2 linked regions of the Tribolium castaneum genome follow. The protein of the gene in region 1 purifies or fractionates together with the protein of each later gene. This does not show direct contact. Links are inferred from orthologs where the notes say so. Each region holds a gene or a part of one and is shown in the gene's direction. Other genes may lie near its edges.

Region 1 (3,848 bases):
CACAAGAAAGACGAATTTTCAACTGAAAATTGGTAAATTTCAGATCAGATTGGTTGGCATCTAATGTATTTTCTGACAAATTTAAAATTCATTACCATTTTTTAATCGAATTTAAATTCTCTGTTACCAATACAAGTCTCCAACAAGTACAGTTAAATATTATTATAAAAAATATTTATAAAACTTATTGAAATTGGGTGTAAACTGTATTTGTTCTAAAAATACAAAGCCAACTTGATTTTTTTTAATGTATTTTTTATAAAGAGCATTTTTGTGCTATGGTATAACACCTGCATACCTTATTTTAGTCGAAACTTAAAAAAATACCGAACAAATAAAATTTGGAAAAATATAACATTTTTTTAGTTTATTGTTAGAGCTCTGCCGCTTGAAATTTGATCAAATAATAAGTATAAGTTAATACTATAATTGTTAAAAAACACTTTTAACTGAAGAAGAACACATTTTAATAAAAAAATGTTTAAACACGAAATACATGATTTTTATGTTACAAAAAATGTTCAATATAATTTCCATTGCAATAATGAATACGTTGAACAAAATTTAGCAAAAAATTAATTAAAATATTTTGCGAAATATTGGCAGTTTCGTTTTTTATTCGTTGTAGGTCTTCGATCGCTAAGTATTTTCAAAATTGACTTAGTTTTTTTTCTCTATAAACCTTTATTATTTTTTTTATTATTATTTGTTCAATTTAATTTACAAATTGACATGCATTTGAAGGTTAAACGATAAAAATTTTTTTCTTTTAAACTTGAAATCTTGCTACAGAAAAAAATGTTATATTACATTATATACACGACGATAAAGATTGTTCATCTGCTCATAAAATAAGTAATCAATCTCATTATCGTCTTGTATAATAAATAACTATAATCTTTATATTGTTAATATTGTAATTATTAATTTTTTCCAAGCAATAATGGATATTGAACGAATTTTAAAAATTGCGTAAAAAACCGTTTGTGTTTTAATGAAATTTTGTGCAGAACATCGAGACATTTTTTTTATATGGCGCATATTGTTTGAGACCATGAACTAGATCCTAAATAATGACACAAAGAAATATATTTTTAAACATAAAAATACTTTTAACGACGCTGTTAGATATCTCTTCACTATAAGCAATTAACTATTTCCATAAACAAGTTGTAAACATATATGACAGTTATTACAACTTAAGTAAACATATTATTTTTTACTTTTACTACGTAGCAAAAATGGAAATTTTGTCCCAACAAAAGCCCAGTCGAATCTAACGTACTTGAATTTTAACAACGGTTATTTTTGCTCATTATTGTGTAGGTGTAGATTAATTATTGAAAATCCCACCTTAATACTACCGACTTTGACATTTGTTTGCCATCTAGTAGGCGAGTACAAAACTAGAAACAACAATTTTAATTTTAATTAAATAAAAGTAACGCAGCTAATTACCATATGATACCAAAATTTCTACGTTTTTAATTTTTTTGTAAAATTTTCAAATACATTATATAAAAAATTTAGATTACAGTTTTCTTTAAATAAAGTGTTACAAATTTGCGAGAGAGGTCGGCACGTTGCGTGACAGCCGTCATGTGTCAAACTAGCACGTAACCTAACTAAACAAATTTCAAAATCGCTCAAAATATGTTTTCCACGAGCACGCAGTGTAAAAATTGGATGTTTAACAGCGAAGATGAGTTAAATAAATTACGCGAAGCTGCGAATTTGAAGCATATCCAAGCCTACGGCCGCCACATCAATGTAAGTTTTTCGTGAGTGTTTCACGTTTTTTGAGTTTGTTGGTGCAGGAAGCCGCTCGTTTCGAGTTTTTTCTCACTGCCGAGGAGGAAAAGATAATGGTGAAACGTTACGAAATCCGATTACGCGATTTTTGTAAACGGTTTCAACCTCCGATGACGCGGTGTGTGATCGGGACTGCGTTCCATTATTTCAAGCGTTTTTACATTCACAATTCGGTAATGAACCACCATCCTAAGGAGATAATGTGAGGGGGAGGGATTTGTGTGTTGGTTTATTTTGACTGTGTTTATTAAAGGGTCACGTGTATTTATTTAGCGTGTAAGGTTGAAGAGTTCAATGTTTCCATTCAGCAATTTGTTGCCAATCTCAAAGGCGACAGGGAGAAGGCCACTGATATTATTTTGAACAACGAGTTGTTGCTGATGGAGCAGCTGAATTTCCAGTTGTCGATTCACAATCCGTTCAGGCCAGTGGAGGGACTACTAATTGATATTAAAGTTGGTTCAAGTACCTTGAAAGACTAATTCTAGGAGGCGAGACGGCGCTTTTTACGCTTTTTTGCCCCAAAAACTTCACTCATTTCACCAAGAATTACCAGTGAATTATACCAGCTTTTCAAGAGATGTAAAATTTTGATTTTTTTTGCTTAAAATTTTATGAAAATGAAAATTTTTTTCTTAAACTCTCTCTAGTAAAGTTTTGTGGACTTTTCTATACGTTCACGACTTCCGACCCGAAGTAAAAAATTCGTTTCGCCTCTTAGTTTTATTTCTTCATCGAATTTGATTTCCATTTAATTGTTTTTAGACTAGATGTGCATTAAATGATCCTGAACGTTTAAGGCCTGGAACTGAACATTTTCTCGAGAGAGCATTTTTAACAGACGTTGTGTTATTGTATTCTCCGAGTCAAGTGGCACTAGCTGCTGTTTTACACGCAGCCTCAAAATTGCAAGAAAATTTAGATTCTTACGTCACTGATACACTATTTGGGGTTGAGGGAAGTGGCAAATTGGCTGAATTAATTGAAGCCGTGCGAGCTATCCGATCTATTGTTAAAATGGTCGACGCTACGCCTGATAAAAATCAACAGAAACTTTTAGACAAGAAATTGGAGAAGTGTAGGAATCCTGAAAATAATCCCGATAGTGAAATGTACATCTCCTCCAAATTTTTATTCTTGGGTTAATTGTTACGTTCCAGATATAAGAAACGAATGCAGGCTTTGCTGGACGAAGATGACGATTTGTATCACCGTATTTCGACAAGGACTGATTCTTTGGATAACTCCGCCTTAGGCATGTCAGTGGGTGGTTCACCCGAAGTAGCGTAATATTGTGTACTGTATTTCAATTTTGTGAATAAAAACTATAACTTAAACATTTATTTCCTTGGTACAAAAATGACTTATTACAAATCTTTGGTTGAGTAAATAATTACGAATTTTCGAAATGTCTTCCGAAATTTTGAAGCTGCATCATTGGTGAGTTTTCATTCTGGTGATGTTCCGGAAAGCTGACGTAGTTTGGAACACACTGTCTAGGCACCAGGGGTGTGGTGGGCGGCGGTGGTAACATGCTGGGCACTGAGGGCACACTAGAGAGCCCGGGTTGGCCAGGATAGTTGAAAAACCTAAAAGTTGTTAGCACAAAATACGAAATTAAAAAACATCAAATAAAGCAACTTTTCATTTATTACAAAAAAAAAGAAGTGAATAAATACCATAATCTGTCTCCCAGAAAAATAGGCCTTGGGGTGAGAATCCCCATCGAGGTGTAATATTGCTGTGCTAGAAGTTCGACATCGTTCGTATATTTCCTCTTCCACTTGGTTCTCCGATTTTGGAACCAGATCTTGATTTGCGTCTCCGTTAATTTGAGCGTCTTGGAGAGTTGGCACCTCTTCGCCACCGACAGATATTTGTTCCGTTCAAATTCCGCCTCCAGAGATTTAATCTGTGAGGCTGTGAAGGCCGTCCTCGGCCTCTTCTTCCTCTCATCGTCCGATCTGTTGTCGCCACACTCTAAAAAGCACGAACCCAACACCAAACAGTTGTTTTTAATTTGCCGTGGCGAAATT
Region 2 (4,256 bases), on another chromosome or scaffold:
TTTGCTAGTGTCTTGGGAGAGCGTTTTTGAGATTTGCCGCCAGTTGCCGAGGCTTTTTTGGCTGAATGTTAGTGAGAATTTGCTGGACTTGCCAACGATTAGTGAGAGTTTTCCAAACGTGACAACTCTGATTTGTGGGTGTATGGACTTGGACTGGGGGCACATTTGCCAACTTGGACGCATTTTCCCGTCAGTTGAAGAGTTCAGAGCTCCGAATAACAAAATCCGGGGGCTTAGCACACCTGAGGGGTTTTTCACCAAATTAAAGTTGCTCGATCTTGAAGGGAATAACATTGAGTTTTGGACGGAGGTCTGCAAATTGGGGGATTTACCGCACTTGGAGCAACTTATTCTGGAGAATATTGGGCTCCAGTTGATTGAGTTTGAGGGTGATTCCCCCAAAGTACAAGCTTTCAGAGCGATGAAAAAATTATGTGTTGTGAAAAACTTGATCCGTGAGGTAAGACTGAAACTTTGTTCGTTTCCGTTCATGAGAGGATTGATTTTAGTGGCGTTCTGTGGCTGAGTTAAATCGGCTTGAAAGTTTAGAAAATCTGCGATTTTCCAAAAACCCCATCACAGAATCGGAAGAACCTGACACTATCCATCAAATAATAATCGCAAAAATTGCCAACTTGAAAATTTTAAATGGGGTTGAGATTGAAGCCACTGAGAGACGGGGGGCTGAATACGACTACATGAAAAAGTACGGTCTTGAATGGTTGGACGCCAAGGGTACCAACAAAGAGGCTGATTTTCTCAAAACCCACAACAGATATTTGGAATTGATACAAAGTCTGTTTATATTTTTTTTGTTACGTTTTTACGGTTATTTTTGCAGAATATGGCGAGCTGGAAGAGAGTGAACTTGTCTCAAAACCGAAAATTATTAAAAATACGTTGGTCCAATTAAGTATAGTTTTTGAGGACTTTACGGTAGAAAAGAAAGTGCCTCTCACAATGACTGTGCAAAAACTTATAGTCCTCACACAGAAAATGTTCAGCTTGAGTGGAAGGCCCCACTTGATTTACGCCAGCAAGAGCGATCCAGAAATCGAGATTCTTCTAGAGGATGAAATGAAAGAAATCGGAGTTTACTCAATGCAAAATGGTGATAAAATTATCGTGAAAGACAAAGTGTGATTGATTTTGTGTTGTACAAAACCATTAATTTATTCAATAAAGTTTTTAATAAATATTTTCCAAATAAAAAGGTGTTTTCTTCTTGAATACTTGAATACATTACATAACCCTACTTATTATAGAATCTTTGAATAACTGATAGAATACGTGGTTCCAGCTCACAGGACTTAAATTTTTAGGCCCCCTTCTTCCTTACTAATCGATTAGCAGCAATAGAAACGTTCCTATTGTTAGAAAATATTACAAAAAATTGCATAACCGCACTTTTTTCCAAACATGCCATAACCTAAAAAAACTACCGGGTCAATGTAAACACCACGGTTTCACCCAGCACCATACAAAAAATGAAGTAAGAACCCGACTATTGGCACTTGAGTTGCCTCAAAACCGAAAATTTTAGACTAAACGTCGATGGCTTAATCGTGTACTTCCCCTATGACTACATCTACCCCGAGCAGTATGCCTACATGTGCGAGCTCAAGCGGGCCCTGGACGCCAAAGTACGCTCCCCGCCTTTCACAGCCCCTTTTTTATGTTAATTTTAGGGCCACTGCCTTTTGGAAATGCCCTCAGGGACGGGTAAGACCACCACCATTCTCTCCCTCGTTGTTGCATACATGCTCGAGCACCCCCATGACGTCCGCAAGTTGATCTACTGCTCTCGTACTGTCCCCGAAATCGAGAAAGTTATGGAAGAATTGAAAAAACTGCTCGAGTATTATGAGAAGTTGGACGGGGAGTACCCCCATCTCCTGGGGCTGGTTTTGTCCTCACGGAAGAATCTATGTATTCACCCGGAAGTAGGTGATTTGGGGGTGCATAACCGGGCTTGATTTTGCAAATTTCAGGTGAGTACTGAGCGCGAGGGTAAGATTGTGGACGGAAAATGCCACGCACTAACGGCGAGTTACATAAGGGAGAGGCACAATTACGATGATACAACTCCCATTTGTCAGTATTACGAAGGTTTCGCTTTGGATGGCAAAGAAAGTACGATGCCGTTTGGGGTTTACAGTATAGATGATTTGAAACAGTACGGACGGGACCGCAACTGGTGCCCCTATTTCCTGTCTCGTTTTGTGGTACTTGAGGTCACACTTTACATTGCACTTCTGACCCTTTTTCCTAGATAAGTTACGCGAATATCGTAGTCTACAGTTACCACTATTTACTAGACCCCAAGATCGCCGAAGTCGTCTCCAAAGAGCTGACACGAGAGTCAGTTGTTATTTTCGATGAGGCTCACAATATCGATAATGTTTGCATCGACTCAATGAGTGTGAAAATCAACAAACGAATTATCGATCGAGCTTCCGCCAACATCCAGTTATTGGAACGTACTGTGGCCGAGTAAATCCCCGGAAGTTTAAGTTTTCTCTGGATTTTTTAAAATTTTTTAGGATGCGTGAAGACGATCACAAAAAATTGCAAGAAGAATATCAGAGATTAGTTGAGGGGCTGCGCGACGCTAGCGTGGCGCGAGACACTGACGTCATTTTGGCCAATCCGGTCTTGCCCGACGCCATCCTCCAGGGTAATACCCGAATTAGATTTATATATTCCGTGACGTTGAAATTAAGTTGGCAACACTGAGTGATATAGACACAGCTTAATGCGTTGACAAAAATGAAGAAATTTAGTGATTTTTAGCCAAAAAACTTTGTACTTAACAGCTTGAGAATTTAAAAAATAACACTGTTTTCAAAGTTTGATAATTTTTAACTTATTTTTAGCAAAATTTCACTCGAAAACGAGGTCATTCGAATGAAACAAACTCAATAGTATAATTTTCGATTTGTGTATAATTTTTAAACATGTTTAACAAAGTTAAAAAACTAAACAGATCTGACCTGACCTGACCTGACAATAAATAAATAAAATAGGTAGCATCAATTGCGATATATTTTCCTGGATTTTCATCCTTTTTTCAACGAATTTTTTTGGAGGAAAACCTTGTTTTTTTCTCATAAACCTGGTAAACACTCGGTAAAGCCAAATTTGGTTGACCTAATTCAGTCGAATATTTTTCAACGAAACAATCTTCAACGAAATAACTGTTTCTAAATAAAAACACATGAAAAAAGCAAAAAATAATGTCATTTTCGATTAAATAAGAATCTTTTTTCTGCTGAAATCTCTCAAAAGTAAACTTATTTGCTTATTTTTTGTCTTATTTTTGAGGGCATTATTCGAAATCATTGAACTTCAGGCTAAAACAACCATACAAAATGCTCGGAAAATGCAAAAATAATCGCATTTTCGATGATATTTTGTGATTTGTCCGCCTGGTTTAGTAATGCTTTGAGAAGAATTTTGTAGCTCAAAAATGCACTTAAATGCTAGACAGAGGCAAAAATATTGCCATTTCCGAATTAATTTTTTGGGCTGATTGTTATTTATTATGTCAGTAATTCGAAAAAAAATTAAATTGCGTAATTTATTAATTTTCAGAGGCCGTCCCTGGAAATATTCGCAACGCCGAGCACTTTGTCAGTTTCCTGAAACGTTTCCTCGAATACCTCAAAACTCGGCTGCGAGTCCAGCACGTGGTGCAAGAAAGCCCTGCTGGATTTTTAAAAGACGTCCAATCCAAAGTCTGTATTGAACGAAAACCGTTACGTTTCTGTGCTGAACGCTTGGCATCTCTGTTGAGAACTTTGGAAATATCAGACTTGACCGACTTCAGTCCGGTCATTTTAGTCACACATTTGGCCACTTTGGTGGCCACTTATACGAAAGGTTTTACGATAATCGTAGAACCGTTTGATGATAAGACACCGACGGTGTCAAACCCGATCTTACATTTCAGTTGTTTGGATTCGTCGATTGCCATAAAACCGGTTTTTGATCGGTTTCAAACCGTGGTTATAACCTCTGGAACCCTATCCCCTCTAGATATGTACCCCAAGATTTTGAACTTCCATCCTGTGATCATGTCTTCGTTCACTATGACGTTGGCCAGGCCTTGTTTGCTACCAATGGTAAGTCCAGAGGTTGGTGGAGTTCATCATTGACCATTGAATGTTAAGTTATTTAAATAAATTTGCACAAAATTTATAGTATATGTGCGGAATAAACACCGTTTATTTTTTGCATTTTTGAACGTAGCTTTT

What was found.
Region 2: the proteins of CycH (region 1) and Xpd purify together in Homo sapiens (affinity purification with mass spectrometry; 3 studies listed by BioGRID and IntAct, counting the BioPlex papers as one, with this or other methods). This does not show direct contact. The link is inferred for Tribolium castaneum from reciprocal best matches to the Homo sapiens genes CCNH and ERCC2.

Annotation. Positions count from the first base shown.
Region 1 is NC_087396.1:24,077,283-24,081,130, reverse strand, and holds CycH (cyclin-H), read left to right. Parts: upstream 1-1,568; 5' UTR 1,569-1,653; coding exon 1,654-1,770; intron 1,771-1,817; coding exon 1,818-2,014; intron 2,015-2,065; coding exon 2,066-2,267; intron 2,268-2,577; coding exon 2,578-2,924; intron 2,925-2,972; coding exon 2,973-3,102; 3' UTR 3,103-3,149; downstream 3,150-3,848. UniProt on the Homo sapiens protein: Regulates CDK7, the catalytic subunit of the CDK-activating kinase (CAK) enzymatic complex. CAK activates the cyclin-associated kinases CDK1, CDK2, CDK4 and CDK6 by threonine phosphorylation.
Region 2 is NC_087394.1:27,625,888-27,630,143, forward strand, and holds the start of Xpd (general transcription and DNA repair factor IIH helicase subunit XPD), read left to right. Parts: upstream 1-1,308; 5' UTR 1,309-1,487; coding exon 1,488-1,492; intron 1,493-1,543; coding exon 1,544-1,643; intron 1,644-1,688; coding exon 1,689-1,943; intron 1,944-1,991; coding exon 1,992-2,225; intron 2,226-2,272; coding exon 2,273-2,493; intron 2,494-2,543; coding exon 2,544-2,677; intron 2,678-3,594; coding exon 3,595-4,124; intron 4,125-4,256. Other genes in the region: Tbce (tubulin-specific chaperone E), read left to right, coding at 1-460, 510-795, 842-1,143. UniProt on the Homo sapiens protein: ATP-dependent 5'-3' DNA helicase. Component of the general transcription and DNA repair factor IIH (TFIIH) core complex, not absolutely essential for minimal transcription in vitro.